Linked DNA regions of Macaca fascicularis. The protein of the gene in region 2 binds, or shares a complex with, the protein of the main gene of each other region. Links are inferred from orthologs where the notes say so. Each region holds a gene or a part of one and is shown on either strand. Other genes may lie near its edges.

The links.
Region 1: TMEM126B (region 2) and TMEM186 share a complex: the UniProt entries of both Homo sapiens proteins name them as parts of the mitochondrial complex. The link is inferred for Macaca fascicularis from reciprocal best matches to the Homo sapiens genes TMEM126B and TMEM186.

What each region holds. Positions count from the first base shown.
Region 1 is NC_088394.1:9,560,593-9,568,640, forward strand, and holds TMEM186 (transmembrane protein 186), read right to left. Parts: upstream 5,008-8,048; 5' UTR 4,983-5,007; coding exon 4,980-4,982; exon of another isoform or gene 4,635-4,979; intron 3,954-4,634; coding exon 3,315-3,953; 3' UTR 2,548-3,314; downstream 1-2,547. Other genes in the region: PMM2 (phosphomannomutase 2), read left to right, coding at 5,251-5,316. UniProt on the Homo sapiens protein: As part of the MCIA complex, required for efficient assembly of the mitochondrial complex I.
Region 2 is NC_088388.1:84,668,719-84,676,813, forward strand, and holds the start of TMEM126B (complex I assembly factor TMEM126B, mitochondrial), read left to right. Parts: upstream 1-2,606; 5' UTR 2,607-2,617; coding exon 2,618-2,698; intron 2,699-3,646; coding exon of another isoform or gene 3,647-3,691; intron 3,692-3,890; exon of another isoform or gene 3,891-4,657; coding exon 4,658-4,846; intron 4,847-5,140; exon of another isoform or gene 5,141-5,312; intron 5,313-5,683; coding exon 5,684-5,805; intron 5,806-7,039; coding exon 7,040-7,233; intron 7,234-7,435; coding exon of another isoform or gene 7,436-7,477; exon of another isoform or gene 7,478-7,622; intron 7,623-8,095. Other genes in the region: DLG2 (disks large homolog 2), read right to left, coding at 618-636. UniProt on the Homo sapiens protein: As part of the MCIA complex, involved in the assembly of the mitochondrial complex I. Participates in constructing the membrane arm of complex I.

The DNA of each region.
Region 1 (8,048 bases), on a different chromosome or scaffold from region 2:
GACTGGAGAAGAGCAAGGCCATCGTGACCTGGGGGAATGATCTCCACAGAGTTGCGGATGAGGGAGGAAAGGGGAGGGTGGATTAGGCCATCAGCCTTCACAGCAGAGTGATGTGATTCTGTTTTTAAGCATCACTTTGACAGCTGCGAAAATGGACTCCAGTAAAGCAAGGATGGAAGCACAGGATAGAAGCATCGAAGTGAAGGGCCGGGCACGGTGGCTCATACCTGTAATCCCAGCACTTTAGGAGGCCGAGGAAGGTGGATCCCTTGAGTTCAGGAGTTCGGGACCAGACTGGCCAACATGGCAAAACCACGTCTCTACTAAAAAGAGAAAAATTAGCTGGGTGTGGTGGTGGGTGTCTGTAATCCCAGCTACTCGGGAGGCTGACGCAGGAGAATCGCTTGAACCTGAGAGGCGGAGTCTGCAGTAAGCCAAGATCGCACCACTGCAACCCAGCCTAGGTGACAGAGCGAGACTCCATCTCAAATTAAAAAAAAAAAAGGAAAAATAACCACTGTTGACAAGAATGTTGAGAAACAGGAACCCTTGTCCATTGCTGGTGAGCGTATAAAATGGTACAGCCGCTGTGGAAAAGTGGCAGGTCCTCAAAAATAAACAGAATTACCACAGGATCCAGTAAATCCACTTCTCAGTACGTACCCAAAACAACTGAAAGCAGGGACTCGAACAGATACTTGTATACCAGTGTTCATAGCAATAGCCAAATGTTCATTCATTAACAGTCAAAAGGTGACGACAACTCAAACGTCCAACAGATGAATGGACAAACAAAATGTGGTATATACAGACAATATACACTGCACCCATAAATGTATTTAACCATAAAAAAGAAATAGTACTGATACGTGCTACAACATGGATGCACCTTGAAAACACTACACCAAGTCAAAGAAGCCAGATACAGGCCAGCTGTGCTGGCTCACGCCTATAATCCCAGCACTGTGGGAGGCCGAGGTGGGTGGGATCACTTGAGGTCAGGAATTTGAGACCAGCCTGGCCAACATGGTGAAACCCCCATCTCTACTAAAAATACAAAAATTAGCCAGGCGTGGTGTCAGGCACTTATAATCCCAGCTACTTGGGAGGCTGAGGCAGGACAATCATTTGAACCGGGGAGGCGGAGGTTGCAGTGAGCAGAGATTGCGCCACCGCTCTCGAGTCTGGGAAACATAGGGAGATTCCATCTCAAAAAAAAGGCCAGATACAAAAGGTCACATATTATATGATTCCATTTATATGAAATATCCAGAATAGGCGGATCCAGAGGGACACAAAGCAGATTAGTGGTGGCCAAGGGCTGGAAAAAGAAGGAAATTATTGTTCAATAGGTATCTTAGTTCTATTTGGGTTAATGACAACATTCTGGAAATGGATGGTGGTGACGGTTGTACAACATGTTCTGTTCTGTTTGTTTTTGAGATAGTCTTGCTCTGTCGCCCAGGCTGGAATGCAGTGGCGTGATCTCAGCTCACTGCAACCTCTGCCTCCCGGGTTCAAGCTTCTCTAGTCGCTGGGAATACAAGTGCCCACCACCATGCCCAGGTAATTTTTGTACTTTTAGTAGAGACAGGGTTTCGCCATGTTGGCCGGACTGGTCTTGAACTCTTGACTTCAAGTGATCCACACGCCTCAGCCTCCCAAAGTGCTGGCATTACAGGCGTGAGGCACTGCGCCCAGCCTGTACAACACTGTTAATATACTTAATGTCCCTGAATTACACTCTTAAATATGAGTAAAAGGATAAATTTGTTAGGTGTATCTTGGTACGGTTAAGAAAAATGGAAGGCGTGGCTCCAAGAAAAAGAGGAAATTCTCCAAAGAGGAGCCAGTCAGCAGTGGGCCTGAAGAGGCAGCTGGCAAGAGCAGCTCCAAGAAGAAGAAAAAGTTCCATAAAGCATCCCAGGAAGATTAGAATGCAAATTGACATTCTCTGGGAGGTGGGACACACCATAGCCCAAGGTGACATCTTCCACCCTGTGCCCTGTTCCCCAATAAAAACAAATTCACAAAAAAAAAAAAAAAAAAAAGAAAAATGGAAGGCTACACAATAAAACATTATTATTTTTTGTTTTGTTTTGTTTTGAGAGGGAGTCTCGCTCTGTCGCCCAGGATGGAGTGCAGTGGCGCGATCTCGGCTCATTGCAAGCTCCGCCTCCCAGGTTCATGCCATTCTCCGGCCTCAGCCTCCCGAGTAGCTGGGACTACAGGTGCCTGCCACTACACTCGGCTAATTTTTTTGTGTATTTTTTAGTGGAGACGGGGTTTCACCATTAGCCAGGATGGTCTCGATCTCCTGACCTTGTGATCCACCCGCCTCAGCCTCCCAAAGTGCTGGGATTACAGGTGTGAGCCACCGCGCCCGGCAATAAAACATTCTTATTGACTTTCGAGTGGCAAAATAATAAAGATCATCATGCCTTCCTTCCTCTTTACTGTGTTACCAATTGCATAACGAACATGTATTATTAATTATGCAAGGCAATGCATATAACTGGCTTTAGTTTATAAAAGAACATACCAGCATACAGTCCATTAGGCTTTATTACACTGCAGGGCCATCCAAAGCAAGAGCCTCTAGATCTCAGGGTGGTGAACAAATCTCAAATGGGGTTTCGTGCTCACTTGGATGACATCGCTGCTCATCGATGTGTAGTTAACATCCTGGCAGACCTTTCTGCTGCTGGATGTGTGAGGGGCACAGCACAGGGCTCTGGAAGTCCCTGCTGACTGCTCGAAGCCTTTCTCCATGCCAAAACCTCTGACCAAATGCTTAATGCTATCTGCTCTAGGCTGCTGAGTCTGCCACACGTTTGACATTTATTCCCACATCCATCCCATGAAACAAGCAGGGCTTTCCATTTTACAGATGTGAAAACCACGGTTCAAAGAGACTCAATAACCCACCCCAGGACAAGTGACAGAACTGAGACTTCTGACTCCAAATCCTATGCTCCCCCACCACACCTCTTTGCCTTTCAATTTCACACCAATGGACTGTCTGGGTGACCCTGGCATAGGTTCTTCTAAGAACTGGCTCTTAACAAAAACTTCTGGCCATTATCTGACTGAATGTCACAAACGAGTGCTGTAAGAACTTGCTTAGAGCCTTTTTCCTAAATCTGGACACCAGCTCTTGCCTTGTGAATTTCTTCATCACAAAACACACGTTCCCAGGGGCCCAGGCAAAGTCTCCAAGTACCCAATCCCCTTTCTTCAGCTGTGCCCACACCCTCAGCCTTCCTATCAATCCAGGTGACCCAGGGTTACCCAGAGGCCCAGGCCCCAGTTGTTTACTTGAACATCTGATGTCTCCCAAACACCTGCGTGAAACGCTCTCTGTCCAGGATGTGTCCATAGCGCAGGGTGACGTAGAAGGTCTGTTTCCCGCTGTACCGCTGGATACGCATGAACATCTCCTGAGGCTGGTCCTTGGTTTCTGTCAGGGGAATCACATCTGCCAGGGGACAGTATGTGTCCTGCCGCCAGCCCCAGAAGCTCAGATGGGCCACCCGCAGCATGGTGCCAGACTCATTCAGATACAGGATACCAACCAGTCTCCGAAAGAAATAGCTCATCCAGCAAAGCATGGTCAGGGCAAAGCCCGATATCCCACTCATCAGGCACACGGTGTTGAGAGTCAGGAGGCCCTGGGAATACCAGTAACAGGCTGGTGGCAAAACTACCACTGTCAGGGCAGTCTGTGCCAACTTCAGTCGAGACAGGAACCCAAAGATTCTGATGGCATCAAAACGGTAAAACATCCAGAATTTCTCAGTCTCTTGGTTTGGTGGTTTCTCCTTCGAGGTGGGTGACCTGCTCCCCACCCACCTCTTAGGATCCTCCTGCCCACTGCAGCACCACAGCCCATGGAGAGGCCTTTCCCACGCAGCTTTTCCCCGAAATCTAGGCACAACTCGGAGAAGGGCAGCCTGAAAGGGAGACAGTAGACGATTTCTCTCATGGAATTCAACCACATTAATCACACGGTGAACATCTGCAAAGCACCATACTCGAAGGCTTCTGCCAATCCTGCAAGGTCACCATTATTGCCAGAGGAAGGAAGGGTAAAGCCAGATGTTATCTCATGTGGGCATCACAACAGCTATCTAAGATAGTTATCACTATTTCCACTTTACCACTAGGGAAACTAAGCCCAGAGAGGGTAAGATATTTACCAAAGAACACACAGTCAGTGAGTGCAGCAGAGTCCTCCTTCCATCAGGCAATTCCAAAGAAATACAAGAAAGGAGGTGCGGCCATCAATAATTCAAAACATATCTAGGGAGTCCCAACTCTGGGCTGGACAATGGATCCACAAGGGGGTGTGAACATTTCCCCAAGCAGGAAACTGAATAATCAATGTCTTAGTGGGGAACTCAAGCAACAAATCTGTGAGACAGCTATCCCAACAAACTTTCTAATTCTGTTTACGTTATCTTGGGTGCTGGAGGGAACTGCTGCTTTCCCTTAACCTAGTCAGGGGAAGGGGAAACAACGAGGAGGAGGAGGAGCGGGGCAGGGAGGCCCCTACACGTAGCACAAACATATTATTAGGTGGGTAGTGAAGCAGTAAAAGCTCTGGTTCCAATTCTGGCTCCATCAGTCACTACCTGTGGATTCTTGAGCAAATCACTCCACACCCCTGAGCTTCGGTTTCTTCGGCTTTCAAAATGGGGACTCAGAACACAGTGAACGAGAAGATGGTTTCAAAGCCCTCAACTTAGTACCTGATGCGCTGTGAGAGCTCGGCGAGTTTTAGCTATTACTACTGTGAGCACGTGACGCAAGGAGGGCAGAGAAAGCCCGGGAATGGCGAATGGTAACCCACGCCAGAGCTTCCTCCCACGGATTCTTCAGGTCCGAAACTCAGGCGTCGTGCCTGCCTGCCCCAGCTCTGACCCCGACCGACCCCCAAAGAGCATCACCCCCTCAAGGATCGCCACCAGCCTCCTTACCATGGCTCCACAGCCTGCTGCCGGAAGTAAATCCCACCGGCCCCCGGAACCTCTAAGAGCGCATGCTCGAATGTACAAGGCGGGCGTGATCCGCGTTGCACCCTGGGATTTGCGGTCCAGGAATCGTGGCTGGCGCTAGTCCCAGGCGTTGTGGGAACGGAGTCTCCTCCTCTTCCCGACGTGCCCTGCGGCTCGGGGGCCGAACTCGGAAGTTCCGGGCCGAGTTCCTGATGTCAACGAGTCTTGCGAGGTGCGGTTAGACGCTGGGGACATGGCAGCGCCTGGCCCAGCGCTCTGCCTCTTCGACGTGGATGGGACCCTCACCGCCCCACGGCAGGTAAGTGGCGCCCGGCGGGCTGGTGGCAGCCGACTCAGAGTCCGTGCTGTTCCCAGTTGGAGCTATCGACTACCCAGGGTCGGCGCTAAGGGCTGGCTAAGGACCGCCTGCGTCCTCACGGGGGCTGGACCCTATTCTAGGTGCCCTGGAGGGATGAGAGGGAGGCCCTAACCAGCTCTTCAAGAGCTCTGATGCTTGGAAAGATGAGACGGGGCTGAAGAACTCTTAAGAGAAGGAAACTTATGCTTGGTTGGAAAATGCAATCTAGACTCACCGCTAGTCCTCGGGACCGATGGACCAGGATTTGAACCCGACATCAGCTGTGTGCCCCTTATCAGCTGTTTTCCGGCCTCAATCCTGTAACCAATGGGCTGTGCCGTGAGTCATTATATTAAAAACAGGTTTCCAGGTGAAATCGACCTAGTGGAGTCTCATCTTCACCTCTTCACAGCTGTGTGACCTTGAGCAAATCATTAACCTTTCTGAGCCTCAGCATCTACAGCTTTAAATGGGGATATTACGTGTTCCATATGGTGACTGTGAGGATCAAATGAGATTGTGTAAGTTCTTGAAAGTATGTTGCACACAGCACACTAGGCCTCAGTAAATAGTAACCACCTCCACCACACCCATCTCCAGCCCCTGCAGTGGACTAGGAAGATGGAGGAGCCCTAGGTTATTACAGGCTGCCCGCTGAGAGCCTCTTTGGGCCTTTGGAAACTTGCTTTCCACTTCCAGATTTTGCTGCTACAGGCACAGATAAGTTTCAGTCACTATCAGCCTTGAGATGAGGCTTTCCTGTCCCCTTTTCAGAAATTGGCCACTGACAACCGGCCATTTCAACTTGAGACTGGACCCCAATGGTCTCACTATCCTCAACTAATATCCTCACCCCTCGTAGTCTTCGCTTGGTGGTAACTATGGTGTGCTCCAGAAAGCCACGTCAAATGCGTGTGACCTTAGACGTATCATTTTGCCCTTCTCAGCCACAGTTTTGATCTACCTAGTGATGACACTCAACTCCCAAGTTCTTCAAAGGCTTTTTCTGATTCTGAAATTCAGCTATCACACACTTGGGGTTGTTAAAAGCCCATAGTGGTCTAATACTCCGGTCCCCAATTCATTTTTTGTAAAGGGCCATATAGCATATACTTTTGTCTTTGCAGACCATATGGTCTACAGTAGCCACTGAACTTTAGTACAAAACCAGCCATAAACCCTATGTAAACACAGAGTGGCTGTGTACCGGTAAAATTGTATTTATTTGTTACAGAAACAAACAGCTGCCCAGTGTGGTCTGTGGGCCATAGCGGTCTAGGGTTTACATTGCCAACCCTTTTTCATGATTTCGCTGGACCCTCTCAACCTTCCTTCATCTTTCTTTCCAGGTAGGATAGTTGTTATTACCTTTTTAAACATAAGGAAACACACTCAGTGAAGAACTAACCTCCTCAGTTTCACACAGTCGACCTGGTACAAGCCCCTGAGCCTCAGGACATTGGTTCCTGTCAAGTTTGCCATTTCCTATCTGTGCTAAGGTGGAAGCTGTCCTAGTTACTAGGTATGCCATTCAGGAAAGTGCTTCTGATCTGATTTTCACAGTTCTGACTCTTCTTTTTTTTTTTTTTTTTTGAGACAGAGTCTCACTCTGTCGCCAGGCTAGAGTGTAGTGGTGCAATCTCAGTTCACTGCAACCTCCGCCTCCCAGGTTCAAGCGATTCTCCTGCCTCAGGCACCTGAGTAGCTGGGACTTAAGGCGCCCGCCACCACGCCTGGCTAATTTTTGTATTTTTAGTAGAGACAGGGTTTCACCATGTTGGCCAGGATGGTCTCCATCTCTGGACTTTGTGATCCACCTGCCTCAGCCTCCCAAAGTTCCGGGATTACAGGCATGAGCCACTGCGTTCTGACTCTTAAGGGCCACTCCTGCAGTTCTAGATTTTGTCTAATAGGTTCAAATTCCACTGTGAGAGTAGAAAAGATTGCACTCTATTACAAGCCCTTCTATGCAGTTTTATTTTAATCAGATTCATGTGTTACTCTAAAAAAATTTTTTAAAGAAAAATCATTGAACTCCAAGTGTTTATATACTGACGGTGAATTAAAAGGTTTTTTGTATTTTCTAAATTTCTAGTAACTTTTTAAAAAAGATATTCAGGGCCAGGCGCGGTGGCTCACGCCTGTAATCCCAGCACTTTGGAAGGCCGCGGGCGGATCACGAGGTCAGGAGATCGAGACCATCCTGGCTCATGCTGTGAAACCCCGTCTCTACTAAAAATACAAAAAATTAGCCTGTAGTCCCAGCTACACGGGATGCTGAGGCAGGAGAATGACGTGAACCCGGGGGGCGGAGCTTGCAGTGAGTGGAGATGGCGCCACTGCACTCCAGCCTGGGAGACACAGCGAGACTGTGTCTCAAAAAAAAGACATTCAGCCGGGCGCGGTAGCTAACGCCTATAATCCCAGCACTTTGGGAGGCTGAGGCGGGCGGATCACTTGAGGTCAGGAGTTCGAGACCAGCCTGGCCAACATGGTGAAACCCTGTCTCTAATAAAAATACAAAAAATTAGCTGAGCGTGATGGCGGGCGCCTGTAGTCCTGGTTACCTGGGAGACTGAGACAGGAGAATCGCTTGAACCCAGGAAATGGAGGTTGCAGTGAGCCAAGACCACACCACTGCACTCCAGCCTGGGCGACAGAGCGCAACTTCGTGTCACAAAAAAAAAATAGAC
Region 2 (8,095 bases):
GGGAGAAAAAAACAGGAGTTTGACCCATATGGGGAACTTGACAATCATGTTATTGGATAATGCATATATCTGGAAAAGCACAATAGTCATGAAAGTTATGCTTTATCACAAAAGTGAAGATTTACACTAGAATAAATCCAAATAAAAAATTATTTTTAACCAAAAGATAAATTATAAAGCTATAATTTTGTTCAGTGCAAATGAAATTACTTTGCTACCTTTCACAACTCTGTAATTAGCTTGATAAATATTAAACCCATGAGGAAGAGCTCCACTGTACAAGTTTTTTTAAAGACCGCTTAAAAGCAACCTTTAACAAGCTAAGAAAACAAGCTAGAGAAGATTCCAAATCTGCGGTACTGAATCTATTCTTATTACCAATGGTGATATAAACAACCTGATGTATGAAATCGTAAATATCTATCAATAAATACTATAGTCTTACTTCCTTTTACTTTAGCAAGATATTACTGAATTATGTACCACTGAAACTATATTACAATAAAAATTTCCCCCAAACTGAAGCAAAATTTTACTCTCAAATGGAATATAGTTTAAATTACAAGTACCAGAACCAACAAAAGGCAGAAATATTATATAGCAACCTCATAGCCCACCTTTCTTCTTGACTGGCATTCTTAGGTCTTTCCACTGCCACAGAATTCAAGATCTCTTTTCAGGTCTCAGTTTGATCCAGCTGGTTTGAGGCCAAGAGCCAGGTAACTGTTGCAAACCACTTCACTGCTCAGTTTTGAAATCCAGGCTGAGTCTTCTATGTCAGATAAAGAAAGTAATGATGTACTTTTTCCACAACTAAACTTTTTACACCGCCCACAGAGTTTACAGAAACGTAATTTTTTAGTTTTTCAAGTTTTTCAATGTTCAGAAAATATTTAGACTGTTTTTACAAACTGGGAAAATTATTGGAAACATGAAGAACGTTACTGAAATTCCTCTTCAGGCAGCAACATTTTTGGAAGTTCAATGACTAACTCATTTAAGGCACAAACCAAATTTAGACAGCTGTCTCATTACTTTATACATGGTCAAACTGAAACATGATGAAAAAGATCCTCAAATATGTAGAGAAAAATTTAACCCCACCTCCCAAAAAATACTTTTAAAAACCTCTTTGACTCCAGTCTCTAAAAAGATAGGTGAGTTTGAACAGTTTTCTGTGGCAGAACACACACCGAAAGGCCCCCTTCTATTTACTGATCAGAAGTTCCGGATCTCACCCCTTCAGTAACTCAGAATCCAGCTTGCTGTCACTTTCATTTTTTTCTTCTGTGCTCTCCAAGCCCCCAGGCTTGATCCTTAATGCACCTCTGATTCTGATCCTCCCATGTATTAACAGAGAGGATTGAAAAAAAAGGAAAGCAATCCCTTGGCATGGAGACATTAAAGTGACAGTGCTACTCAATGGGCACTTGATGCAGGATGAGTTGGCGAAGCAGATTTCTTCACACTGGAGTCATTCACATCATGCCATCTCTTCGCATCCAAGCAGCTCCCTATCCGGCGAGGAAAAACACTGAGACTTCGAGAGAAGCCAAACCTTCCCCCAAAGGTGTTTTCAGAGACGCCGTAGTAGTATTAGACATGTAAGCATAAGCTATGCAAACGGTCCGCGATTTCCTCAAAATGAAAAAGTGCAGCTGCTTGGCTTTCACATCCACATCCTTTTCTCTCAATCTCTCTTCAAACTACCCACCTTCCTTTTGCAGAAAAGACAAGACATTTCTCTGCCACCGCTGGCCACCCCTGCCCAAGCCCCGTTCTTTTAGGGAAGAGCACTGAAATGTCCTGCACCCTCCACGCGGTGAAGTGTTTCTTCAGGCAGGAGCAACAGCAGCACTAGAAATTATATAACTCTCGAATTTGGCTTCTCTAAGACACGGAGACTGGAGGGTCGGGGGTTGCCGGTCTGGGAGATACTGCTGGGCATTTAACGTGCACAAAACAGCGCCAGGCCTTGCAGTGCCCCCCACCCTGAGACACGACTGACAAGTGGGTCTTCTCGGGGGGTAGTGGGCAAATTTCTCTCCTGTCTCCTTCCAAGCGGGGCTAAAGGATGGAAATTGAGGGGACTACAGACTGGGGAGAGGAGTCAGACGGCTGAGAGGAGAGGAGGCTAGTCGGGGCTGCTCTGACGGCGCTGGGCGGCTGGTTGGGGGTTTGGAGGAGGAGGTGCCCGAGAAACAGAGCTTTAACACCACACGGGCCAGGGCAAAGGGGCGAGTTCCCTCAAGGACTGAAAGGGGCAGGCAGCTAGTTCCCAGCTACCAGAGGTGCCCTGAGGAGAGGCAGGAGCGCAGTAACATTCCAACATTTGGGCCGCCCCATCCTCCCCACAAGACGCGAGGAAAACAGGGAGCTAAACTGACAAATAGCAAGGGAAGGAAATACTCTGCTGGCGATGGGGGCGGACCCACAGGCACCTGGACCTCCTCTAAGCGAATAAGTGGCCGTAATTTCTAGACACCGCGCCCAATCACAGACAGGATGGAGGGCGCGGCTTTTGACTGAGGGGGGCGGGCCCGGGCTGCAAGCGAGAGGCATGAGCCGTAAACCCGCACCACTTCCCGCCCACCAGCAAATCACGTGAGCCATCAAAATGGCGGTGTTCGGGTATGAGGCTGGGGCCAAGCTGAGGGATTCAGGTGTGGTGCCGGTGGTAACTGAGGAAGCGCCCAAGGTAGGCGGAAATCCGAAGTGGTATGGGGGGTGATTTCTGCAGCTTCAAAGTGTTGGCAGAGTCTTCCAAGATGATACACTTAAAGGAGATTTGAAAAGTTAAAACAGCCCCCAAGTCCATGCAAGGAGCAGTCGATTAAGTCTCCAGCTGTTGTGGAAAGAGGCGGAGAGAACGTAGATTACCTAAGTTCTAGTACTCATTATCTGCGGTTTGTTTTCTCTTGTCTCCAGGCCTTTGCACAGGCTTTTTCTTCAACTTGGAATATTTCCCTGCTTCTATCCGTCCCAACTCCCCTGCCAAATTGTTCTCTTTCGGATATTGGTTTAAATGTCACTTCCTCCGGGAAGCCTTCCCACGCCTCCTCTGGCTAGATTAAGTTTGCCTTTTCTTAGGTTGTTGGGTTTTTCGTTTATGTCACTCTCTCATTCTGTGTTTAAATTGCCAGCATTTTTGTTCTGAACTCCCACTACATTGTGGATTCCTGAGGATGGGATGACTGTATCTTGATTACTCGGAGGCCTGGCATATACCAGGTGCTCCCTAAATTATGAGAGAATACTGAATAAAATTCTAAAGTTGAAATTTATTATTAGGTGAAAAATGTATTATTAGGTGAAATAATACACATGAAAGCACTACAAAACCGTCAAATGATTTGCAAACTATAAGCCACTCTTACTGGTATAAGCGTGGTGACTAGTTGAGTGGCCTTAAGAGGGGAGGGGTGTAATGAAAGCAGTCGATTCTTTGACAGTGCCTTGCAAAGCTTAAGCACTCAATAATATTTCCTGTGTTCTTTTCAGTATTTCAGTATTTGCTATCCTGTAATCATAATCCTGGGTGTCTGCTTTCCCTATAGAGAGTTTAGGGTGTAGACTAGGTAGGAGATTAGTAGAAGATATTGCCTGGAAGTTTATTTTGTTTTTTGTTTTTGGTGGAAGGTGGAAGGTGGAGGACTTCAGTGAACTGGATGAGAGCAAAACAAAACTTTATGTAAGGTTTATGGTTACTCATGTTATTGACATCTGCCATCTTAGTACAATAGATGGGTTAGGTATAGAACCTCCCTTAGATGTTACTATCCCTTATACTTTCCATTTGGGTGTCCAGGAGAGGAAAAAGATGTAAGTCTAGTCACTGAAAAATTGTAATTTGTAAAATATTTTACTTTTTTTCCCCCTGCCCTCTCCAGAAATGTTACAGAAAAAGATTGAGTACAATTCTGCGATGATGCAGAGAAAGAAATTGGTCCATTATTACTCGTTGTGTAATGCCATAAGAAGGTTCAAAGGAGCTCATAACTTACGTATGTTGATGCCAGGAGCCGTGTATAATCAACTGGCCCTTCTATAGTTAGGATTGGTACATACCGCTCATTCAGCAAATGAGTATTACGGTAATATTCAATATGTGTCCATTGACTACAGCATCAAAAGCACTTGGTGCTATTAAAATGCAGATTCTAGGCCTCATCCTACTCCTGCTGAATCCAGATATCTCAGGAGGGAGTTCATGAGACTGCATTTCAAATAAATACCCCATGTGATTCTTGTGCATGCTGAAGGTTGAGAACCACTGATTTATGAAGTATTTTGTGTATTCATTATGCTTTATCCCGTCTAATCCTCTTGTCTAGGACTCCTTAACTTTGAGATTTAGTATTTGCCTTCAATATAAACGTTAAAATTGAGATTAGTGTACATTTGTAAAGAGGCTATTTGGCTAATCTGGAGGAAAAAGAGTAAAAAGCAGTGAATTTAGCGGCAATAGACTTTCCACTTGGCTGCTGTAGTAGGTAAACATTTGCAACTACATGTTTGGATTTAACAAATGTTATTAAGATTTTTCACAGAAACTAGAGTCTTGCCCAGAGCAAAACATTCAGAAAGGATCCTGTCTGAGAGTGCAGGGTTTGTTTTCTTGTTGTTGTTGATTTGTTTTGTTTTTTAATCTCTCTAGTTTCTGTTAAGATGCTACTGGCCAAGTCTTCATGGTCCCTTGACATTGGCAGCTGTCTGTTCATCACACTTGGGACACAAGAACCTTCCAACCAAGGAGCCCAGTGCTTTGGGTCTCTGGGGCCCGGCGCGGTGGCTCATGCCTTTAATCCCAGCACTTTGGGAGGCCGAGGCAGGCAGATCACTTGAGGTCAGGAGTTCGAGACCAGCCTGGCTAACATAGTGAAACCCCATCTCTAGTAAAAATACAAAAATTAGCCAGGTGTGGTGGCAGGTGTGGGTCTCTGCTATACTACATAATCATTTCTAGCAAAGGCTCTGCTTCCACCACAGCTGGTAATAGGGAACTGGTTATGTAATTTATGTACTTCAAAGTAGTAGCCACAATCTACTGCCTGTTCCCTTCCTGGAGCAGTGTCCCTCTTTCTGATTTTTCTCTCTCACTGTTCTCCAAGGCAATCCCTGCTCTCTCCTACCTCTCTAGGAAATGAAACACGATTTCCAAAATGAACTCAGTCTTTCATGAGAAACTGAGGATAGAGATGTCAATAAGCAGCCATTGTTTCCACCTCCCCACCTGAAGAGCTAGGAGGACAACTACAAAGGGCCTGACTGCCTTCTCAGAATGAGGAGAGAGGAAAACAGAAACAGTATCAGCATGTTATCCCTCTAAACTAAATCTTAAGCAAGCCAACCTTTCAGACCCTCAGTTTCTCATCTGTATAGAGATAATCATTATACTACCAATTTCTCAAGTTAGTGTGTGAATCAGAAAGCCAATGTCTGTGTGTTGTAGGATGTTTAGCAAGAAAATAAAAAATAATAACAAAAAGCCAATGTCTAACAGATAATAAGAGCTCAGTAAATGTTGATTGAATTATTAACAAAATATGTGAAAGCAGACAACACAGTACCTGGCACACTACTAAACTGTAAATGTTTTCAAATCTGAATCTGTAGAATTCTGTAAGGTTTTATGTAATATGAATATCATTAGCTATTATGGCTCTGGAATTTTTTTTTCCAGGATGTCAAGATGACAGCATCTATGCATGGTCAACCCAGTCCTTCTCTAGAAGATGCAAAACTCAGAAGACCAATGATCATAGAAATCATAGAAAAAAATTTTGACTATCTTAGAAAAGAAATGTAAGAGAAATACCCAGGCTGAAAATCATTTTATTTGCAAGTCTTTTGTATTGCCATTGTTTCTGAGATCCTATTCTTTGTTATCCTATTCTTTGAGTTGGTTATGAAGAACACATCCTTAAAAAAAAGAATGAGGGAAACAAGAACAGATGAAAATAGTGGTTTGTTGGAATATTTGGGATTGTGGATAATTTCTTTTGTTTCTTAAAAAGTATCCAAAAGTATTGCTAAAACATTTGTGCAGTAAATATATTTTAATTAAAAGTAAGAGAAAATCATTGGGGGGGTACTTATATTTAATTGGTGAGTAATTATAATCAGTTAAGGATTGATTATCTCAGCCACAGTACTTAGTACAGCAAAAGGGAATACAGATTTCATAGTATAAATATAGTCTCACATTAACATATTGACTTTTTTTTTTTTTTGAGATAAGAGTCTCACTCTGTCACCCAGGCTGGAGTGCAGTGGCACAATCTCGGCTCACTGTAATCTCCATCTCCCAGATTCAAGTGATTCTCCTGCCTCAGCCTCCCAAGTAGCTGAGATTACAGGCGTGTACCACCACACCCAGCTAATTTTTGTATTTTTAGTAGAGATGGTTTCACCATGTTGGCCAGACTGGCCATTTTGACTTTTAAATGAATGGAGTTCAAGAATAAAACCAAAGGACAGTTGATCTTATTTCCTGGATTTAGGTATGGGTCTTAATAAGAAAACTAGATCAGATTTTTTTGGATGAAATTTTCTAAATCTTGGACAAATTATTTTAAATGTATCTGGGACTAATGCAGAAATAGAAGGCCTAACCAAATGTAAATAGCTTTTTTTTAGCTGAACTTAAGCAAAGTAAATCTTTTAGTTGCAGGAAAGGTATTCTTCGATTTGGGTAACTCATAAAATTTGGCTACATTGGAGCATATTTATATTTATTTGTGACCAAAATTATTTAAAAGAGCTCTATTTTAGAACTACTGTAAATATTATCAGAAAGAGAATCATGTCCTCTCATTGGAATACAAGTTCTATGAGGGGTGGGAAATTTCTTTCCTTTTCTTTTTTTCTTTTGCCTTGTTTACTGCCCTATCTTAAGCACTTAGAAAATACTTTTCACATAGTAAGTGCTCAAGAAGTATTTCATATTGAGTAAATATGCAATAACAACTTTTTAGGAAAGGCTGTATCCATTAAGTTCAATGTTACAGTGAACTGAATTTTTCTTTTTTTCTATTAGGACACCAAATATATATCAAATGACGTCATTTGGAACAACAGCTGGTTTCTCTGGAATATTCTCAAACTTCCTGTTCAGACGCTGCTTCAAGGTTAAACACGATGCTTTGAAAACATATGCATCATTGGCTACACTTCCATTTTTGTCTACTGTAGTTACTTACAAGCTTCTTGTAATTGATCCTTTGTATTCAGGTGAATTTAAATTCACTAATGTATAATGTAGTTTTGTCTAAGTAAAGTTACTGATTAACATATGCTGTTGCTACTGCTAATAATAATTCTTTACATTTATATAGTGCTATACAGTTTGTAAAGTCCCTTCATATACCTTGTCGTATTTAATCCCTGCAACAATCCTCCTAATTAGGTAAATCGTATTTTTTTCTTTTTGTAGATAAGCAAGCAACCCAAACTGAGGCATGTTCAAGTACACTAATAAACAACATACTGGGAAAAGAATTGACTGTGGCATATAACAAACATCATTTCAGTATCCTACCTCCTGCCACTTAAGTTTTGTGACATTCAGCAAGTAATTTCATCTCTGAGCCTCCCTTGTCTTATCTATGAATTAGGGCTAATAGTACTCACCTCACAGGATTTTGTGAGAATTAAAAGATACTGTAGGTTAAATGACTACCACAATATCTGTCATATTATGGGCTTTTAATGTTATTTCCTGCCCTTCACCTTACCTTGAGTTTCACAACTAGTAATTGATAGAGCCTCTATCCATCATTCATTCTTCAGGTCCCTGCTTAAGTATCTTTTCCCCAGGGAGACCTCTGGTTCCCTCATTGTACATTAGGTGTCTAGATACATTCTCTATATAGTTTATCTTCAAAGTATTGTGTACACTTATAATTATTTAAATATTTATCTCATGTCTTTCATTCCTGTAAACTGGCCAGAACGTCAGAGATCAGGTGTCTTTTATATACCACTGTATTCCTAGCACCTAGCACATTCCTGATACATAGTAGATAATAAAAATGTATTAACCTAGAATCCAGGTCTGGTCTGCTAGTTTAGTATTCTGTCATTATAAAATTCC